6 linked regions of the Macaca fascicularis genome follow. The protein of the gene in region 6 interacts with the protein of the main gene of each other region in a pairwise test. Links are inferred from orthologs where the notes say so. Each region holds a gene or a part of one and is shown on either strand. Other genes may lie near its edges.

The links.
Region 1: the proteins of CBY2 (region 6) and MMAB interact in binary tests that used the Homo sapiens proteins (3 or more experiments, as listed by UniProt). The two-hybrid records come from large-scale screens. The link is inferred for Macaca fascicularis from reciprocal best matches to the Homo sapiens genes CBY2 and MMAB.
Region 2: the proteins of CBY2 (region 6) and SYCE1 interact in binary tests that used the Homo sapiens proteins (3 or more experiments, as listed by UniProt). The two-hybrid records come from large-scale screens. The link is inferred for Macaca fascicularis from reciprocal best matches to the Homo sapiens genes CBY2 and SYCE1.
Region 3: the proteins of CBY2 (region 6) and METTL17 interact in binary tests that used the Homo sapiens proteins (3 or more experiments, as listed by UniProt). The link is inferred for Macaca fascicularis from reciprocal best matches to the Homo sapiens genes CBY2 and METTL17.
Region 4: the proteins of CBY2 (region 6) and C19H19orf44 interact in binary tests that used the Homo sapiens proteins (3 or more experiments, as listed by UniProt). The two-hybrid records come from large-scale screens. The link is inferred for Macaca fascicularis from reciprocal best matches to the Homo sapiens genes CBY2 and C19orf44.
Region 5: the proteins of CBY2 (region 6) and LMO1 interact in binary tests that used the Homo sapiens proteins (3 or more experiments, as listed by UniProt). The two-hybrid records come from large-scale screens. The link is inferred for Macaca fascicularis from reciprocal best matches to the Homo sapiens genes CBY2 and LMO1.

Annotation. Positions count from the first base shown.
Region 1 is NC_088385.1:116,423,501-116,427,000, reverse strand, and holds part of MMAB (corrinoid adenosyltransferase MMAB), read left to right. Parts: intron 1-761; coding exon 762-821; intron 822-2,766; coding exon 2,767-2,875; 3' UTR 2,876-3,500. UniProt on the Homo sapiens protein: Converts cob(I)alamin to adenosylcobalamin (adenosylcob(III)alamin), a coenzyme for methylmalonyl-CoA mutase, therefore participates in the final step of the vitamin B12 conversion.
Region 2 is NC_088383.1:142,658,560-142,662,059, reverse strand, and holds part of SYCE1 (synaptonemal complex central element protein 1), read left to right. Parts: intron 1-2,402; coding exon 2,403-2,465; intron 2,466-3,196; coding exon 3,197-3,256; intron 3,257-3,500. UniProt on the Homo sapiens protein: Major component of the transverse central element of synaptonemal complexes (SCS), formed between homologous chromosomes during meiotic prophase. Requires SYCP1 in order to be incorporated into the central element.
Region 3 is NC_088381.1:88,661,572-88,663,776, forward strand, and holds the end of METTL17 (ribosome assembly protein METTL17, mitochondrial), read left to right. Parts: intron 1-564; coding exon 565-615; intron 616-872; coding exon 873-965; intron 966-1,200; coding exon 1,201-1,385; intron 1,386-1,459; coding exon 1,460-1,565; 3' UTR 1,566-1,705; downstream 1,706-2,205. UniProt on the Homo sapiens protein: Mitochondrial ribosome (mitoribosome) assembly factor. Binds at the interface of the head and body domains of the mitochondrial small ribosomal subunit (mt-SSU), occluding the mRNA channel and preventing compaction of the head domain towards the body.
Region 4 is NC_088393.1:16,844,507-16,847,792, forward strand, and holds part of C19H19orf44 (uncharacterized protein C19orf44 homolog), read left to right. Parts: intron 1-1,990; coding exon 1,991-2,480; intron 2,481-3,286.
Region 5 is NC_088388.1:57,600,199-57,603,698, forward strand, and holds part of LMO1 (rhombotin-1), read left to right. Parts: intron 1-1,203; coding exon 1,204-1,417; intron 1,418-1,847; exon of another isoform or gene 1,848-1,867; coding exon 1,868-1,963; intron 1,964-3,500. UniProt on the Homo sapiens protein: May be involved in gene regulation within neural lineage cells potentially by direct DNA binding or by binding to other transcription factors.
Region 6 is NC_088391.1:24,906,637-24,910,736, forward strand, and holds the start of CBY2 (protein chibby homolog 2), read left to right. Parts: upstream 1-1,300; 5' UTR 1,301-1,371; coding exon 1,372-1,446; intron 1,447-1,745; coding exon 1,746-1,826; intron 1,827-4,100.

The DNA.
Region 1 (3,500 bases), on a different chromosome or scaffold from region 6:
AGCGTGCGGTGCCCATTAGAGACAGCCTGGAACTCTGACAGGCCTGGACGCACACCCTGCTGGGCCGCTAGCCAGGTGCATGGCTTTGGGTGGGGATGAGAACCCTGAGGCTGGGCTTTAGGTGGCTGGCCTGCCAACAAAGTGTATGCCACAGGGTGATACCTGGGAAAGGCTCAGCAAGGGCCCGCCACCACACTGGTGCCCAGCAGATGGCTGTCCAGTGTCTAATGTATCTGCACATAGACGGGCATGGACCCTAGGAATCCAGAATCCTGTGGAATCAGGAGCTTGGTCTGCCTGGGTCTTTTTCTCCCCTGTGAAGTTGTTCTAAGTCATGATGTACAAGCATGATGTACAAGGGGCTTAGAGTTTAGCCCATTGGGAATTAAGGGTCAGGCCCCCACTTCCTTTGAAGGCTGGAGGCTGACCACCCCAACTTCACCCCACCCAGACTCAGGTCTAATGGTACAAAAGCTGGCTGACTGGCCGGGGTGTGGTGTAGGCCAGGCGGCTCCCTCAACTCCCCAGCTGTGCTCTAGTCCTCCTTGACCAGGCCCTCCTGCGATGTGCCCGTGGAAAGGGGGCTGATGGCCTGTTTAAACCCACCTGTGACGGATTTGTCATCTCCAGTGCTGGCCGAGCTTGTGCAGGCTCAGGTTGAGCGGTAGTGGGATGTGAAATGCTGCTCAAGGTTTAGGCCCCAGGTCAGAGCCTGTTAAGCCCCATAATGTCACATGACTCAGTGTCTCCTCCCTTTCTAGCGTGGTGCCTCTTGTCCAGATGGGAGAGACCGATGCGAACGTGGCCAAGTTCTTAAACAGGTACTCGCGTGGAACCTGGGGGTCCCTCTCTGAAAGCCGAGGCTCGTCTGTGGGAAGTAGCAGTGGTGCAGTGTTCCCACACCCCCTCCTCCATTCCCTTAGTGTTTATGAACATCTGCTCTGTGCCAGGCACCACGGCAGGCACAGGAGAGGCAGTGGCGAACAAGGTGGACACTGTGCCTGTCCCGAGAAGATTCAGATCTTATTGGGAGAGGCTGCTGTAAAAACCAGGAAGAAAAACTTATGTACAAAGTGGCCTTGCGGGAGCGAAGGGCGTTCTTAGAGGCTGGGTGCTCAGGGAAGGCCTCTCGGTGGTGGCCGACCAGGGAGCCAGGCTTCAGGCCCTCTCTCAGCCAGTTTCCTCTCCCCGAGAGGGCCTGGGGCAGTGTGAACCAACAAAAGAGAGCCGGGCCAAGCTGAGCTCAGGGGCCCCCCGTGCAGGCCCCAGTGAGCCAGGCTAGCCCAGGGAGGGCTTCCTCTGCCTTGCTGCCGGCCCATGAGGCTGGAGCCACACCTGGCCCAACGCCTGCTCTGCTGGTTCCTGCCCCAGCCCTGGCTCCTGTGGCACCAGTGTGAGCAAGGCCAGAGCCTGGGGGCAGGTAGAGAGCTGGGGGAGTGGGTCTGCACCCCAGGAGCTGTCCTGGGTGTCTAGAAAGTGACCTCAGGCCCCTGACTGGCCACTCCTCCCACGGACATGGCCTGGCTTCGACAGGTCCTGAGCAGCTCCTTTCCTTCTGGGAGTGGGGTTTCACCGGGAGTGAGGAGCAGGTCCATTTCACCTTCAAAGCAGCAACCCTGGGGGGACCCTTGCGGTCCCATAGCATTGCACGGGACAGGCCATTTCATCTCTTCAGTGAGGCTTCACAGAGCCAACAAGCAACAGGTACGCTGCTGCCCTCCAGGAGCACGCAGCCCAGAGGTAAAATACCCCGAACCACCTCCCCTTCGCTGTCCCTGAGAGCCAGCTGTGGGGCTCAGGGCGCTTGAGTCAGGGGAGGGCTCAGGAGGACGTGGTGTGGAGCTGGCCTCTGAGGGCAAGACTGGAGCAGAGAGAGAGGGAGGAACGTGGTGCCCAGTGCTGGGAATGACACAGCAAAAGATGCGGACAGCAGGAGGCAGAAGAGCTGACAGCGTAAGTGCCTTGTGGGGCCCATGGCGTTGTCCTCTAGTTCCCTCCATTGCTGCCCCTGCAGAAGGCCTCATGCACAGATGGCCCACTGCTGTTGGCTCAAAGGAGGAGGCGGGAAAGGGACTGGGCTCTGGTCTCTAGAGTGCCCCAGCCTGTGCTGCTCACCTGGTACCTTTGGCAATGTTTGGAGGCATTACCGGTTGTCACACTGGGTTCAGGGGTGCCACTGGCATCTGGCGGGTGGGGACCAAAGGTGCTGTCAGCATCCTACATTGCACAGGATGCACAGGACAGCCCCGAACACAGAGAATGATCCAGAATGTCAGTAGGGCCTAGTCCAGCAGTGTCACCATCACCCAGGATGGGAACTAGACCTACAGAGTCCCGGGCCTGGCCCAGCCCTCCCGAATCAGAATCTGCACGTTGCTTAGATCCCCCGGTGATGCCTGTGCACACTGTAGTTTGGGAAACACCCAAACTGATCACGCACATGAGCCCTGATCACTCAAAAGTGCAGAAACCAGCTCAGAGAGGAGTCCAAAGTCATCTGCCCCATGGGGTAGGGCTGGGGCAATAGCCTCATCCTGCAGGAATGGCCCCAGCCTTGACACTGGAGTAGAGTCCTTGGCATTCACAGCAGCTGGCCTCGCATGCCATCCATCAAGTGCAAGGTGGTGGGCCCCCGCCCTCCCTGCACGGTGTGCCCAGAGCGCGTCATTTATATCTCCTCCTTGTAGGCAGATATGGGAAGACCCAGTTAGCATTGATCTCTCATTTCAAACCACTCTGTTTGCTTCTCTCTCTCTGCCCCTCCAGACTCAGTGACTATCTCTTCACACTAGCCAGATATGCAGCCATGAAGGAGGGGAATCAAGAGAAAATATACAAGAAAAATGACCCATCAGCCGAGTCTGAGGCACGCTGAAATCACAGAAAGTGGGAGCTTGGAGGATCCCCCCGTGGCAATGGTCATGGAGAGAGGAGCTTGCCCTTCCGGGGTCCTGGTTCCTGAAGAGCTCACCCAGAGAGACTGAAAGCAGCCTTTCGTCCCAGCTCTGCTTTGCTCCACACCTCCTGCCACCTTCCTCAAGGGACTGTGGCCCTTTGGGGATTCTGTCCCTGACCCTGCTTCCCCAAGCTCTCCTGGGTCTTGGAGGGATGTGGGAATGAATTGGCATTGCAGGAAAGACAGGTAAAGTGATTGCTGCAATGAGAAGGAGCTGTGCGGAAAAAGAATAAAAGTGAGAAAGGCTGGAGCTGTGTGTGTGTGTGTGTGTGTGTGTGTGTGTGTGTGTGTGTGTGTGGAAAAAGAATAAAAGTGAGAAAGGCTGGAGCTGTGTGTGTGTGTGTGTGTGTGTGTGTGTGTGTGTCCTCCCACTGCCAGCTCAGATTGTTCAGAGATTTGGAGTGTGTGTGTGTGTGTGTGTGTGTGTGTGTGTGTGTGTGTGTGTGTCTGTGTCCTCCCACTGCCAGCTCAGATTGTTCAGAGATTTGGAATGGGACCAGAGGCCCTTGAAAATGTAATTGTGATTTACCTGTGCCAAAGGGGC
Region 2 (3,500 bases), on a different chromosome or scaffold from region 6:
GAATGCATAAGGAAAAGCAGTTTTCTCCGCAAATGGGAGTCTGATGCCTTCTCCATTTTCTTTAAGGAACCTCATGCTATTATAAACTGTTTTAGGTCCCTCATGCAGCAGAGGGTGCAAGAGAAAGGAGAGACAGCAGAACTAAATGAAGAAAATAGCCTTCAGTCAACTGAGAAGAAAAAAAAAATTTTGCTCAAAAAACACAAGGACCTAGGAGAGAGAAAAAAGAAAAATCATGAAAGCCTTTTAAACACACACACACACAGAGACACACACATATCTTGGATGTTAGCTTTTAATTAAGCTGACTTTTAAGCTTTTGAGTTTCTTTCAAATTTTTTTTCTAAATCTCTTCAACATATTTCAGCTAGGACGAATAGCTGCTATTTCAGAAGTACCAAGTATCAAACCAGAAAGGTCTTGATTTAGGAACCAAACCCAGGCTGTTACGGAAAAAAAGAAGACAGAACCTCAGCTATGGAACTGCAGTGTGGGTGACAATCATTTCTCTTTCAGTTTGGCCTGGCTAGCAAAAAGATGGCCTTGTTATGTAAATGAAACCACTTAAGTAGTCAAAATCAAAAATCTTCTCCCCCTTTTTTACTTTTACTGGCCGTTTTTTCTTCCCCCACCACCACTTTTCTGATGGGAATTTAGCCACTTCAGAGGCCTTGTTCCACATAATTTGGAACTTTCCTTTGGATTTGATCAAGTCAGATAGAATTGGCCAAACCCAATGGGAAAAGGACCAAAACAGCAAAAACAGAAAGAAACAACAAAAAAAATAACGGTTAAGTGTAACAAACAAATGATCACACAACTTGTATGATTACTGAACACTGTAATGGTAAGGAAAAATTAAGAGCAGCTGGTTGTTAATCTTACCTTTAGCCAAGACAAACCCCAATTCAGTTACTTACCTAGGGACGGGTCTTAGGCTGAAGACTTGTCTCTATCATCTTAGAAGCAGGAAAAAAAAACCCTCAAACTTGTCTTTCCTGTTGGGAGCGAGTTCAAACTCCAGAAATGAGTTTTCATGGTAGCAGGAAAACTTGCCTTCCTTGTTGAAAGCAAGTAAAACTCCAGAAAAAGAGAAGAGTTGTTCAGAAAATAAACTCTGGCCTTCGAACGAATTTTGGGAAATGAGGGATTCCCTGGATAGGGGACTTCCAGACCTCAGCAACTTGTCAAATTAGTTTGAGCCACAAAGATAGCCAAGCTGCTAGCAGGCACTGGTAGAATGTTTGTCAAAGGTCAGGAGCACCTCTACTCAGAATCCCTTTGTGGTTGCCAAAATGTGAAACCCCAAAATCTGAGACAGGTCTCAGTCAATTTAGGAAGTTTATTTTACCAAAGTTAGGGATGCATGCCTGCGACACAGCCTCAGGAGGTCCTGATGACATGTGCCCAGGATGGCAAGGTAGTCAGAGCACAGGTTGGTTTATATGCTTTTTAGGGAGACATGAGACATGAATCAACATATGTAAGATGAACATTGGTTCGATCTGGAAAGGTGGGTCACCTCAAAGCATTGATGAGACAACTTGAAGCAGGGAGGTTGACTTCAAGATCATAGGTAGATAAAAAACAAATGGTTGCATTATTTTGAGTTTGTGGTTAGCCTTTCCAAAGGAGGCAATCAGATATGCATTTATCTGAGTGAGCAGAGAGATGACTTTGAATTCATTTATTTTCAGATTTTTATTTTACAAAATCAGATACGCATCTATCTCAGCAGAGGGTAACTTTGAATTGATTTATTTTCAAATATTTATAAAAAGATTTATTTTCCTTTCACAATGTTAATGCCATAAATAATTTCTTAGATCTACTAATTTTAGTGTTAAAAATAGGTTCCAATAATTATAAAAAATTAATATGAAATATTTTATGGGGAGATTTCAGGTTTAGTATTGGTTGTATATAGGAAAGCTATTTGTATTTATATATGTTTTTAAACTAACATCCTAAGGCATTTTGCTACTAATCCTTATGGTTTTATAGAAAACTCTCTTAAGAACTTCCTAGATTATGTCATCTGCTAGTTACAGTGATTTTTGACTCCTTGTTCCAGGTTTTTATACCTTCATTTTTTTTCTTAAATTATTATATCAGGAGCTTTGACCTTACTTTGAACAGCCTCAGCAGTGAGAGTATACCCCTGCCCTCACCCAGAGTTTTACAAAGGGCTGCCTGGTATAATTTTACCCTGCAGGGAAAAGCTGACCATGGAGGAGCCTGATTCATCTAGTGTACTGTTCACCTTAGGAGAAGGAGCAGGGCTACCACTCTGGCTGGAGACCTGCCCTCAGTCTACCTCAGTCTCAGCCCAGGGGCTGTCAGATCCTTCCTCTGGCCTCTCGCCCTGCTTGATTCTGAAATGTTTGGTTTTGTCTCCACAGGGCAGGACACATCCTCACAGAAAATTGAAGACTTGATGGAAATGGTGAAAAAGCTGCAGAAAGGTCATGTGTCTCCTTTGTGTGAGGCTCAGCCTGAGATTTGGGGCCAAGCAGATGTGGGTTCAATTTCCAGCCCCACAATGTATAAACTTGGGAAATAATCCTCTTCACCTTCTCTTTCTTTTAAAACTTAATTACTTAAACTAAAAATCGGGTCCCATGATTCAAAATTAAAGAAGGAAAAAGGGTAAGGAAGGCAAAGTGTTTTCCCAAAACCCTGTCCCAAACCTCTTGCTGGTCACCCATTTGGCTCCACTGCAGTCCATTAAATCCAGAAGTTGCCACCTTTACTTCCCTTCCTTTCCCCTCAACCCCTACTCCCTCTTTGCTCACTAGGCTCCTGCCAGCCATGTTCCCACCTCAGAGGGGGTCTTTGCACTGACTACCTCCCACCCCAACCCAAAGAGCTGCAGGGCCTGCCCCCCACCACCTGATTTGGGGCTCTCATGATACCTTCCCATATCTGAGGAGCGCTTTCCACTCCTTTGCGCTTTAACCCCCCTTGCCCTACTTTATTTCTCTTGAACACAGTTACCACAGCCCCACTCAGTATCTTATTGTGTCTGTTCCCAGTCTCACCCACCCAGAACATGAGCCCTGTGAGGGCCCCACACAGCACCTGCTTTCAGTAGGTACTGAATAGATCTGTGTTGCGTGAAAGCAGCAGAGACACAAGGCTGCAAGCACCCCACCTCTGCCTGCCCTGTCAACTCAACCTCCTTTCCTCCCTGCAGTGGGAAGCCTAGAGCCCCGAGTTGAGGTCCTGATTAACCGGATTAATGAGGCCCAGCAAGGTGAGTTCAGGGGCCTTGGCTGCCAGCTAGTACCAGCTACATGGTTTGCGGGACTCAGTGCCAAATGAGAATGCAGGGTCCCTTGTTCCAAAGTTACTGGTTATTCACAACAGCAGCAGCAGAGCCTTAAGTACAGGGCATTTCAGCATGCAACTGCCATAGTTAATATACCCATGATCCTAGCCCTGCTATCAGCAGAGCCTGGCAAGGAGAGCCTGGACTCTGGAAGCCTCGTTTCCTACTG
Region 3 (2,205 bases), on a different chromosome or scaffold from region 6:
GGAAACTGGGCATATAAAGTCATTATGAATCAGAGCAGTGGTTGGCAAATGAGAGCCTGTGGATCAAATCCGACCTGCCACCTGTTTTTATATAAGCCATGCTTATTTGTGCCTCTGTTGTCTGTGACTGCTTTCACACTACAAACAGCAGAGTTGAGTAGTTGGGACAGAGATAGATTTTGCCTACTGTCTGGCCTTTTAAAAGAAAGTTTGCGGACTCCTAATCTAGGGCATTGCTGAGCTGAGAACCTTGTCACTGGGGGAGAGTATGAGCCAGTGTATAATCATAAATTTCATTGTCCTGGAGTGGGATTTTTTTGAGAGTGGAGGTTGCTGACAAGGGAGAGCACTGTACTTTGTGCCAAGTTCTTGCCTTTCTCCTGCAGCAAAGAGAAAGTTCTTTGTTTGGAGTATTAAAGATGCAGCCAGCTTAACTCAAAGGACGTAGTTAATCGTTATTAGAATTGAATGTTAAAGGAGTCCTCAGTTTACTGACTGCAGAGATTGAGTTATGAAAATAGACACCTGGCCCAGCTTTATTTCTTTTATTTCCTTTGATTTCAGGGAAAAGAGAAGTCACCTTTGGACCCTCGACCTAGTTTTGTCTTTGCCCCGGTAAGTATTACTTCTACCTGTCCCACCACACAGATCTGAACTCAGGTGTGGCCAGAAAAAGTAAGATGGTAAAGCTAAGCCACTCTCCACTACTTTGTGTTCCTATCCAGTTCCTACCTAATGATTCTCCTGGCTCTTCCTACCCACTGTTCCTGTCCTCCATTCTCCCTGGCCCCTTTTGACTCTATTATTCTTAGTTTTTAAGTTTTGTGATTGATGGCTCTTTTGTCTTACCTCACTTTTTTATGTGTTCACAGTGTCCCCATGAACTCCCTTGTCCCCAGTTGACAACCTCTAGGCCACTGGCGTGTAGCTTCTCACAGGCGTACCATCCCATCCCCTTCCGCTGGGTAGGTACCTGGGGATATTGCAGCAGGAAGCAAACATCTTGGAAAAAACAGGAAGAAAAAGAGTCAGAGTTAGGAGGCATTGGATAATTCACAGAATAGCCTAGAGACTTTAGGGCCTACATGTATATGATTTACACATTGTAAAAAAGGACTGCAGGAATGGGGAAGAAGGGGCTTGACAAACTTTTTTCCCATATGTTTTTCTTCTAAACAGTCTCTATGTTCCTTATCTTAGAACAAGAAACCAAAGGAAGAAAAGTTCTCTATGGTGATCCTTGCTCGGGGGTCTCCAGAGGAGGCTAATCGCTGGCCCCGTATCACTCAGCCTGTCCTTAGACGACCTCGCCATGTGCATTGTCACTTGTGCTGTCCAGATGGGCATATGCAGCATGCTGTGATCACAGCCCGCCGGCATGGCAGGTATAGGGGGTGTGACCAAAATTAGTGGGATGTGGCAAGAACCTGCAGCCCACATTAACGTCTCATTTCCATAGGGATTTGTATCGTTGTGCCCGTGTCAGCTCCTGGGGAGATCTTTTACCTGTGCTTACTCCGTCTGCGTTTCCTCCATCCACTGCTCAAGATCCCTCTGAGAGTTGACAAGGATGTCTAACAAGTATTTTCTTCTATCATGCCTGCCAGGGCTGACACTACCTGGTATCCAGGAGGGGACTGCTGGTATCCCCATATGTCTGTGTTTGTTTGAGATTTTTAATAATAAATAATAAATTTTTAAAGAATGGAAGTGGATTTTGTGATTCTTAAAAAGTGTAGAAGCTGGGCACAGTGGCATGTGCCTGCATTTCCAGTCACTCAGGAAGCTGAGGCAAGAGGATCATTTGAGCCCAGGTGTTAAGGCTGCAGTGAGCTGTGATTGTACCACTGCACTCCAGCCTAGGTGACAGAGCAAGATCTCCTCTCTTTAAAAAAAAAAAAAAAAAAAGTAAAAGGTATAGTTAATTATCCTGGTCTATCCTGTAATGAAGAGCTTCCTCAGATTTTTGATGCCAAGCTTCCCACACAAATCTCAAGCTCGCCTTCTCCTATTGTGGCAGTTCAGATCTCCATAAGCTCTTCGCTGTAATGATGAATGTGTAAGCTGATCATTAAAGCAGAAGTAGAAAAACCAGATTTCTATAAGCCCTTTGCTATAATGATGAATGTACAAGTTAAACATAAAAGCAGAAGCAAGAAAAATGTATAATGAATTGGGGGAACCTGGTGCCTGAGTATGAAGGCT
Region 4 (3,286 bases), on a different chromosome or scaffold from region 6:
GGGGATCATGGCTCACTTCATCCTCAATGTCCTAGGCTCAAGCAGTCCTCCTACCCAGCCTTCTGAGTAGCTGAGACTACAGGCATGCACCCATGCCTGGCTAATTTTTTATTTTTTGTAGAGATAGAGACCGGCTAGGTTGTCCAGGCTGGTCTTGAACTCCTAGCTTCAAGCATTCCTCCTGCCTCAGCCTTTCAAAGTGCTGAGATTGCAAGTGTAAGCCATTGCCCCCAGGCATGATGAAACTTAATTTTTAAATTATTTTTTTCTTTTCTTTTTTTTTTTTTGAGATGGTGTCTCGCTTTGTCGCCCAGGCTGGAATACAGTGGCGCGATCTCACTGCAAGCTCCGCCTCCCGGGTTCACGCCATTCTCCTGCCTCAGCCTCCCGTGTAGCTTGGACTGCAGGCGCCTGCCACCGCGCCCGGCTGATTTTTTGTATTTTTAGTAGAGACGGGGTTTCACTGTGTTAGCCAGGATGGTCTCGATCTCCTGACCTCGTGATCTGCCCGCCTCGGCCTCCCAAAGTGCTGGGATTACAGGCATGAGCCACCGCGCCCAGCCTAATTATTTTTATTTATTTATTTATTTATTTTTTTTGAGACGGAGTCTCGCTCTGTCACCCAGGCTGGAGTGCAGTGGCCGGATCTCAGCTCACTGCAAACTCCGCCTCCTGGGGTTACGCCATTCTCCTGCCTCAGCCTCCTGAGTAGCTGGGACTACAGGTGCCCGCCACTGCGCCCGGCTAGTTTTTTGTATTTTTTAGTAGAGATGGGGTTTCACCGTGTTAGCCAGGATGGTCTCGATCTTCTGACCTCATGATCCGCCCGTCTCGGCCTCCCAAAGTGCTGGGATTACAGGCTTGAGCCACCGCACCCGGCCTATTTTTTTTCTTATAGAGATAGAGTCTTGCTATGTTGCACAGGCAGGTCTTGAACTCCTGAGCTCAAAGGATCCTACTGCCTCAGCCACCTAACATTTCATCGGTCTATGATGAAATGTTTTTTTTTTTTGAGCTGGAGTTTCACTCTTGTTGCCCAGGCTGGAGTGCAATGGCGTGATCTCGGCTCACCACAACCTCTGCCTCCTGGGTTCAAGTGATTCTTCTGCCTCAGCCTCCCGAGTAGCTGGGATTACAGACATGTGCCACCACGCCTGGCTCATTTTGTATTTTTGGTAGAGATGGGGTTTCTCCATGTTGGTCAGGCTGGTTTCAAACTCCCGACCTCAGGTGATCTGCCCGCCTTGGCCTCCCAAAGTGCTGGGATTACAGGCATGAGCCACTGTGCCTGGCCGAAACTTAATTTTTTAATTTTTATTTTTTTTTCTTATAGAGATAGGGTCTTCCTATGTTGCCCAGGCAGGTCTTGAACTCCTGAGCTCAAAGGATCCTACCGCCTCAGCCACCTAAAGTCCTTAAGTCCATGATGAAATGTTAAATGCCATCCATGTGCCACCTAAGCATGCGTCACCCCATCAGGCTTCCCAGCCCCATAGGCATCCCGTGCTGAAGACGCCACAGTTCTGTTTAGAATACTCCATGCCCACACCTGATGAGGAGCTGGTATGTCCCCCTTGCCTGCGGGAGTGCCGGAGGTCCCCAGCTCCTAGGAGTACGGTGTTCCTAGCATGTTGATCTTTCCAAAACACTTCTAGCTGGGCGCAGTGGCTCACACCTGTAATCCCAGCATTTTGGGAGGCTGAGGCGGGCAGATCACAAGGTCAGGAGATCGAGACCATCCTGGCTAACATGGTGAAACCCCGTCTCTACTAAAAATACAAAAAACTAGCCGGGCGTGGTGGTAGGCACCTGTAGTCCCAGCTACTGGAGAGGCTGAGGCAGGAGAATGGCATGAATTCAGGAGGCGGAGCTTGCAGTGAGCCGAGATCGCGCCACTGCACTCCAGCCTGGGGGACACAGTGAGACTCCGTCTCAAAAAAAAAAAAAAAAAAACTCGCTTCCCAGCCACTTCTGCCATTCCTCATTTTAGGAGGAAAGTGCTCAGAGAGAGAAAACGGCTGGCAAAATCTTCAGAGCCGAGGTGTCTGCTGGGCCGGATGCCCCCAGGCAGGCCCAGGCGAGGAGCTGGGCATCACAGGGAAAGGCCGCCTCTGCAGAGGGGGATGAGAGCGAGGTCTCGGAGCATCTCAGTGCCAGCTCGGCCTCTGCCATCCAGCAGGACAGCATTTCCAGCATGCAGCCACCATCTGAAGCCCCCATGGTGAACACAGTCAGCTCAGCTTATTCTGAGGATTTTGAAAACTCTCCAAGTCTGACGGCATCTGAGCCAATGGCCCGTTCCAAGGAGTCTCTTGACAGAACACTGGACGCTCTGTCTGAATCCTCTTCAAGTGCGAAGACAGACTTTCCACAAACAGCCGAGGCTAGGAAAAAGTCGGGCAGGCACGTGACAAGGGTGCTTGTGAAGGACACAGCTGTGCAGACCCCGGACCCCACCTTCACCTACGAGTGGACCAAAGGTAAGCACTGGGGCCCGCGGGGGCCGGGGCAGCCCGGACAGGAGCTCAGCGTGTGGTTTACAGCATCCTGGGAGACACGTGGGAGAGCTCAGGTTCCCGAGATCTGGACTCTTGTTATTAATCACCTGGAGGGGTTGGCCAGGCAAGGTGGCTCACACCTGGAATCCCAGCACTTTGGGAGGCCGAGGCAGGAGGATCACCTGAGGTCAGGAGTTCAAGATCAGTCTGGCCAACATGGGGAAACCCCATCTCTACTAAAAATACAAAAATGAGCTGGCTGTCGTGGTGTGTTCCTGTCATCCCAGCTACTCAGGAAGCTGAGGCATGAGAAGAACCCGGGAGGCAGAGGTTGCACTGAGCTGAGATGATGCCACTGCACTCCAGCCTGGGTGATAGAATGAGACTCTGTCTCAAAAAAAAAAAAAAAAAAATCACCCAGGGACCTTGGCTCACCATTTCCTCTTCCACGGATGAGGGGCTGCTGCCCTGGTGTGTCCCGATGTCTTCCTAGCCCTGAAGCGTTCAGAAGGATCAGAACCAAGGACTAGGGTAGCAGCTCCCACAGGATGATTCTGTCATGGGGGGCCTCCAGCAGGGTCTGGAGACATTATTGGTTGTGACAACTCGGGGTGGGGAATGCTATTGGCATCTGCTGGGCGGAGGCCAGGGGTGCTATTCCACACCCTGCAGTGCACAGGATGCCTTTGTCCTGGAGAATGAACACCCTGGGTGACTTTCCAGACATGTCTCTCTCTCACTCTGTTTTTAGAGATGGGGTCTTGCTGTGTTGCCCAGGCTGGAGTGCT
Region 5 (3,500 bases), on a different chromosome or scaffold from region 6:
CAGGGCCAGTAGGAGGACTGACTCCAGGGGAGTGTTGGAAAGCCGGGGAGGTGAGGAGGGCTGGGCCCTTATCCAGCCTGCACCTTGGTCAGGAACAGAGCATGCACACCCTCCCTGTCTTCACAAGGATTCTCAGGCAACTCCCACAGGCCTGTAAAGTCACAGAGCAGGGCTTCTGAGGTCCTCTCCACTTCCCTCCCAGCCTCACAGGTCCACATGGATGTCCAGGCTACTGGACGACATCTGTCCCCATCTCCTCCTCAACTGTCCCTGTGGTCCCAGGAGAAGGGAATAGGAATCCATGCCTCTGTCACTTCATGCCCACACCTGCACATCGTGCCTGTGTGTGAGGGGTGTGCGTGAGCACACATGCTCACCTGCTGCGATGGGAGGCTCTGCTCTGTGGTGAACATCATGTTGGGCCCTTTGTACTTGGTGCCTGTGTGTATGTTGGGAAGCCAGTATGGGTGCTGGGAGGTGCGGATGGCTGAGAGATCCTAATCCTGGCAGAATGACGAAGGATCCAGAGGCTCAGAGCCTGCCCTCCCCCAGGCCAGGGCAGGTGAGGTATGAAGCATTCCCAAGGAGAGCCCCAGCCAGGCCCTGCCAGCTGCCCCCTCTTACCTGCCAGGAGCCCCAGAGCCTCCGCTCCCTCCTGGGAGTGTCCCAAGAGTGTCTCACTTCCTTCTTGATGCCTTCACAGCTCTACATGGATAGACCAAGAGGCTGTAGCATTTCAGCTGGAGAAACATGAGTCGGCAAAAAGATCTGGGGGTTCTAGAGGATCTCCTGGGCCTGAGGAGACTACATTTCTTAGGCTTATTGCTGAAAGAGCCAATGCGATGGTGGCTTCACATGGCGAGCTTCAGGCTTCTCCGGGTGAGACCGCACAGGGGCCAGAGGCCAGGGTGGGGAAGAACAGCTCAGGGAGGCTAGGCCTGGGGTCTGTGCATGCCTTGGAGCAGAGCAGCCTCTGGAGGGACCTTCACAGGACCAGGGAAACAGGCTGTGCCACGCAGCCCAAAGGGCAGGACCCAGAGCCAGGGAAAGAGGTTACTGGGGAGAAAGCGAGGGCTCCTGGGAGCCCCAAACCTAGAGGGGGCAGCAGAGAGAAGCAGTGAGCTCCCCATTCTTGGGGGATATTCCTTGAGGCCCAGAGCTACGGGGCCCATCCTGCGTTCCTGTCTGTCTGTCCGTCTGCAGGCGTGCCGATGCTCTCCGTTCAGCCCAAAGGGAAGCAGAAGGGTTGCGCGGGCTGTAACCGCAAGATCAAGGACCGCTATCTGCTGAAGGCATTGGACAAGTACTGGCACGAAGACTGCCTCAAGTGTGCCTGCTGTGACTGTCGCCTGGGCGAGGTGGGCTCCACCCTCTACACCAAGGCCAACCTCATCCTGTGCCGACGCGACTACCTGAGGTGGGCTGCCGACCCCTGGCCTCGCAAGCCCTTGTCCTGCTCAGAAAGCCCCCCATCCTCAGCCCTAGTGTTACTGTGCCCCGGCCCTAGACCCAGTACCCTGTGTGCCCCCCCATTCTTGACTGTCCTGCCCCTGCCCTGCTTGCCCCAGATACCTGAGGGAAGGCCCAGGTCTTTATGCCCTTGGACTCAGTGCTCAGCACAGGTTCAGGGCAGGCATTTGTAACCTGGGGCTCCTAAGTTAAGCTTTCCGAGGGCCCCAGCTTTGCTCCCCCCCACCACCCCTCACCCCCTGCCTTGGCCAGGTGCTTCTGACCCACCTGATCTGGAATCTGGGAGGGGATACTTCAGAGGGGCTTTGAGAACAGGTGTGGAAGCTTTGACTTCCCCGGGCCCCTCCTCCCTAATGCAGTCTTCTTCCCTCTCCCAGTGCCCAACTTTCCTTTCCAGGTGGTCCTTGGGAGCCGGCGTCCATTTGCCCAGGGAAACTGGCAGGCAGCCATATCCTAGGAGCAGGGCCACTGATGCTGGAGCTTCAAGACCTGGGTTGGAACTAGCTCTGAGCCTGTGGCTCCTAATCTTCTCCTAGCCTCAGTTTATTTCCCCGTGAAGGGTGAAAGAACAATGCTTCCCTGCCTTGCATTCCTCTGAGCTCTAACTCACCCTCCCTACAACCTGGATCCTATTCCCTGGGGCTGCCTCCCCCAGTTAACCCTCCCTGAGGCCATTTACGACATCAGCAAGGCTGGAAGGAGGCCACAAAGCAGGGCCTTGGCTGCGACCCAACACCTGCATTTGGCTCTGTCGCAGGCTGCTGGATGGCGGCTGGGCTTGTGGGGAAGGAGGGCTCATCGCATTCATTAACAGGTCAGGGCAAAGGCTTCATGGGGTTCCCTCTGCCTAGGTCTGGGCATGTTGCAAGGGCGAGGTTATCAGTGGAAGCTCCCCCACTTCCCCAAAGATTCTTTGACTGACCTGCCTGTACCTTCTCTCTTAACACCTGCATTTAAAAGTGATGTAGTAAAACAGAATCTGTGACTCAATGCTCCTTGCCAGGGCTGGAGGGGAGAGGCTGAGGCCAGGAGCAGGGGTTAAGGAAGAATGTTCAGACTAGGCATGGTGGCTCATGCCTATAATTCCAGCACTTTGGGAGGCCAAGGCAGGCAGATCGCTCCAGTTCAGGAGTTCGAGACCAACCCTGGACAACATGGTAAAACCCTGTTTCTACAAAAAAACAAAAACAAAAAAACAAAAAAACAAAAAAAAAAGAGCCAGGTGTAGTGGCTGCACGCCTGTCGTCCCAGCTACTCAGGAGGCTGAAGTGGAAGGATTGCTTGAGCCCAGGAGTTTGAGGCTGCAGTGAGCTGTGATCGCGCCGCTGCACTCCAGCTTAGGTGACAGCTCTTGCTGACCCTGTCTCAAAAAAGAAAAGAATGTTCCTGGGGATTCACCCCTTGAGGACCTAGAAGGGGCCTCCATGTCTGGAGGTTTAGGGCATCACCTGGGGGCTGAGCCTACCGGGTTAGGACAACATGGCAGACCAGCTGATGGGCCACTTGACTTGGAGAGAGAGGCCCACAGTGCAGAATGGGCTTATCAGGAAAAAGCACCCACAAGCATACAGGGCCCTGCCAGCTACTAGGGATGGAAGGTAATTTTTTTTTTCCTCTGGCAGAGGCAAGGAATGACTGTAGGACCAGCTAGACCAGTGGGCTGGGATGGGAGCGTGGCTTCCTTGAGCTGCTCAGGCTGGGAGAATGGCTGTCCAGAGCCTGCGCCCTCTGCAGCAACTGTTCCTGGGCTGATGGCAAGAAAAGCCCCTCTTGGCAGGCAGATGCTGTGGCCCAGCCTTTGTCTGCCTTAATCTGAGCCACCAGGCAGCTCAAGCTGATGAATAATGGAGCCAAGCTCATCTGCAGGCGCCTCAGCTTGAGCTGGACAAATTGGGGATTAGAGGGGCCCCCCTCTTCTCAGCCTCCTTGCCTCACTTGGGGCTTGCTCTGTCTGTGTGTAGGAAAGAAGCAAGGAGGAGCTGGGATGGCTCAGACCTTTGGGACATCCAGCCGAGGGCTGGCTTGCATGG
Region 6 (4,100 bases):
CCAGAAAGATGTCTAATCCAGAAGCAATTTCTTTTCCCAAAGGAAAAGTGCCAAGGGAACCTGAAGTGCCATGGTAGAGAAGCAGGAACCCTATAGTTGAGCCTCTGAACGCACTGGTCTAGGTGGCTACTCAGGATCAGTGCAGGGGGCCTGCACACCACTAGGGGCAACAGTACCTTGAACAGGCTGTTCGTCTCACCTGGGGTTCTAGTTTGTTATCAAGCAAAAGGGGCTCACTGCCCAATATGCTAGAAGCCAATACTGACACCAAGTTTTTGAAAAAAAGAAAAGCTTTATATTAAAAGTCACCTCTGAAGGAGGCAGGAGTCAAGCTCAAATTTGTCTCTCTGTGCTGGCATTAAAGCAGTATTTTTATTGGAAAAGGTTCAGGGGGTGGATTCTGAGATTAGCAGGTGATTGGTACAAGGAAAAGGGAGGTCTGGAAAGTCCTTGGGCATGCACAGTTATTTCTTCATGTTAACTCCTGAGTTGCATGTGCAAATTCAGGGGGAATTAGTACAAAACATGTGGTGGAAATTCAGGCTACGACATCAGCAAGCTTATTGTGTGCAAGCTCCAGTCAGCCATTTTGGTTCCAACCAATTTCCGCCAGGTTTTTCTAGATCTCACAAGTGGAGGGAGTTTCAGCAGCTTAAATTTCTTTTCTTATCTGCTATCCCGAAACTCAAAAATTTCTGTTAGTTACTGATTTCTTACTCTTTGGGACTTTCCATATCTCCCATTTCCATCTACCAATCACCTACTAATCTCGGAATCTACCCCCGGAAACTTTTCTAATAAAAATACTGCCTTAATGTCAGCACCGAGAGACCGGTTTGAGTTTGACTCTTGTCTCCTTGGGAGTTGACTTTGAATATACAAGTTTTTCTTTTTTAAAGAACGTAGTGTTTTAGTATTGGCTTCTATTGCATTGGGCAGTAAGCCCCTTCAGCTCTATCACACTAACTCCAGGTAGATAGCATCAGAATGAAATGGAATTGTAGGGCACACAGTTGATGTCAGAGAATTAAGGAATTGAGTAGTGTCAGAAAACACCTCAGACTATACTTTCTCGCTTGGTGTGGGAAGAGTTCAGTTGTGTTTCCTTCTTCTTGAGTGACCGAACTCCAAGAAGACGCCACTTCTGGAGAGAAACTAGGGGTCTCAACTTAGCCTGGCAGTGAGAATACAAATGGCAGCTGGGATGACCCAACAGGGGGCTAATGTTTGAGCTATTGTGTGTCACACTGACCCTGACCGGCCAAGTAGTCACAGCCCCCACAGGTTCTTCCTGCCTGTCAGATGCCTCATTCCCACCTGTGATGCTCAGACAGAAACCATGAGCCCTGAAAAACACCCTATTGTTTTGTGATGTCACCTCTGGAATGTTCTGAGTGTTTTGGTGACCAACTTCTGCATAGGACCTATACCTGGCAACTCACATTGGTATGGCTTTTTACTTGAGATAGAAATAATCATCTTAGGCAAGCAGGTACAGTTATCTCCGCGTCAAAGACTTTCAAAAGTCTTTTACATCAACTATAATATCTAGCTTAATATCTGTTCAGAGATTGATAAACCGTCTTGCCAGATATCGTCTACACATTCTTCCAGACTTTCATAATTGTACATAACTGACAAGAGGGAAATAAATGAGGAGAAAGTTCTATGTTTTTTAGGTGAGCAATTGAGGCCCAGAGGATGAGTTGGGAAGCAGCAATCTTCTTCTTTTCTCTTTTCCACAGCACTCAAGGCCAAATTTTACAAGAAAAAGAGATACCAGATCTGAAAGCCTAGAAATTCCAATCAATGTGGTTCTACCTCAGGTAGGGATAATCACAGAGGATGTAACCTATCGGTGTTAGCCAGAATAACCCCCTACCTCCTCCTTCAAAACTCTAGCAAGATGTTGTAGAATAAGCAGAGATAGGGCTTCAGGTTCTAGTTTGGGTTGGCTGCCAGCAGGCAGCGTGCTGGGGAAGGCCACATAGCCCCTGTGGGCCTTGGGTTCTTTTTCCCACGAATGAGGTGGTTGGGTCAGATGGTTTGGTAAGAACTTCCAGTCCTAACATTCCAAGTTTCTATGATACTCTGAAGTAACCCAACCTTCTCAAAACGAGACCTTTTGGTGCTTAGTGTTGTGCATTCACTTTGGATTTCTAGAGGAGAATTAGAACTGGGACTTGGAATCAAATGCATAAGAATGAATCCATGAGAAGAAAACCTCCTTCATGGACAGAGGGGTACAGAGTTATTTGGAGTTGTCAAGAGAATTAAGCCCTGCTATGCACCAAAGACAGATGTAGGGGCCATGGGCATAGATGCTTTTGTGGTCAATGAATTGGTGAAGTCCTCACAGGCTAGAGATTCTCAGGTCTCCTCCTGCCTGAAATCAGCTCTTTCCTTAGTGGAGTCTTCTTGATTGAATTGTGTCTACTGATGCTATGTCACAAAGGGGTGGCTTTGCTTTCTCCAGAGTCACCTAAGGCCTCATTGGAAGACCAGGGCCATGCAACCAGAGGGGTTGAAATGTAGGATGGAGGAATCCAAAGCAGAGGTAACTATCTGAGAGCTCTGTCCAGGGATGTGTAGGAGGAGGATTGACCACTGGTGAGCATTCCAGATATAATTGTAACAATCTAGGCAAGTATGTTCAGTGGGAGGCAAACATATGGAAGAAGAAAACATCCTGGATGTTTATTTTCACATTATCTTTATAACTTTGTAATGAACAGTCACTTTTCTATGACTTGAATCTTAGCTAGAATATAAGATAACTTCCCCCTGATCATTCGACAGGATAACAAGCTGTAGGAATCTTTTTGGGCCTGATTCTTTCCACCTGAAATATGCAGGGAGTTGTGTTGGCCACTGCTTCCCCAAGAGTGGGTGTTACTGCTGTGATGCCTCATGGCCCATATAAACCAATCTTTTCTTCCAGAATCCTGGGGCCTCTCAACTTTACATGCTTTGAAAGTACCTCAGATGGCTGAACGTTCTCTGATAGTAACCCTCAGTAATGTTGGCAAAGTTGGTGTTTAAGAAACTTGGTCAGGCAGAGGATGCCAACCTAGAGGTGGGTGTGAAGGAGGGGATAGGATTTGAAAGAGTAGTGGTCATGTGATAGAGAAATTGGAATGATGTTTCCATCAACACCTACCGTAACTTTCCCTCCCCAGCTCCCAGAAACAGCCCAGCAATCAAAGAGAAGAGAATGTGGTTTAAGACAGCTCAAGCTTGTCTTGGGGCTGCCTGATTACTGTTCTGGAGGACCTGGTGCTGCTGCTGGGGTCCTGTGGGGGCAGAGTGGGTGAAGAATGAGAGGATATCTCCTGTCTGGGCATGTGTACCTCTCACGGGAAGGTGTATACACCTGCCAAGAGGGCACAAGCCATGCACCAGGTTTTGGACACCTGTCAGGATGCTCAAGACTGGCACTCTGGGGACGGGTGTGGGTGTCTACAAGTAGATAATCTGAACCAAAATACCACCAGGGCTGCGAGAGGGACCAATGTGCTCACTCGGCCTCCCTAGATGAGATGGTGCATGGCTTAGGGGACAGGGTTGATCTGGGAAGCAAGGAGAGGAAGAAATATCGACTGAATGTTAGTGCGATCATGTGTTGAGCACGGTGCCAAGTAAGTGTGAGGTAGAGATTTTACAGGTACAGGAACTGGCAACCCCAGGAACCCCACTAGTAATGGCAGAGATGGAGGAAGGGGCTTGAACTCCAATCAGTGCCCATGTTCTCCGCTATACCAGGGCACATGCCACTAAGCTGGGCCACGCTGCATCTTAGCTCTGTGGTTCTTCTTTTGCTCTTTGGAGATGGAGTCTTCTCCCCGCATCTTAACCGCTCATCTCTGGGCTTCTTATTTTGTATTTGCCAAAAGCTACTCTATTCTGGGATGGAATCCACTTTCCATTTGTTTCAGAAAGGACTTGTGGCAGCAGCTCTGTCTCTAGAAAGTGCCTCTGCTTCCCAGCTCCCAGTCCTGCTGTGTGTTTAGGCTTCTCAATTACATTGCAAATGCCTGTGATCACTACTTGTTATCACCCTTAGGTCTTTTCAGGACGCATTGATTTCCCGTTTTTCTTCC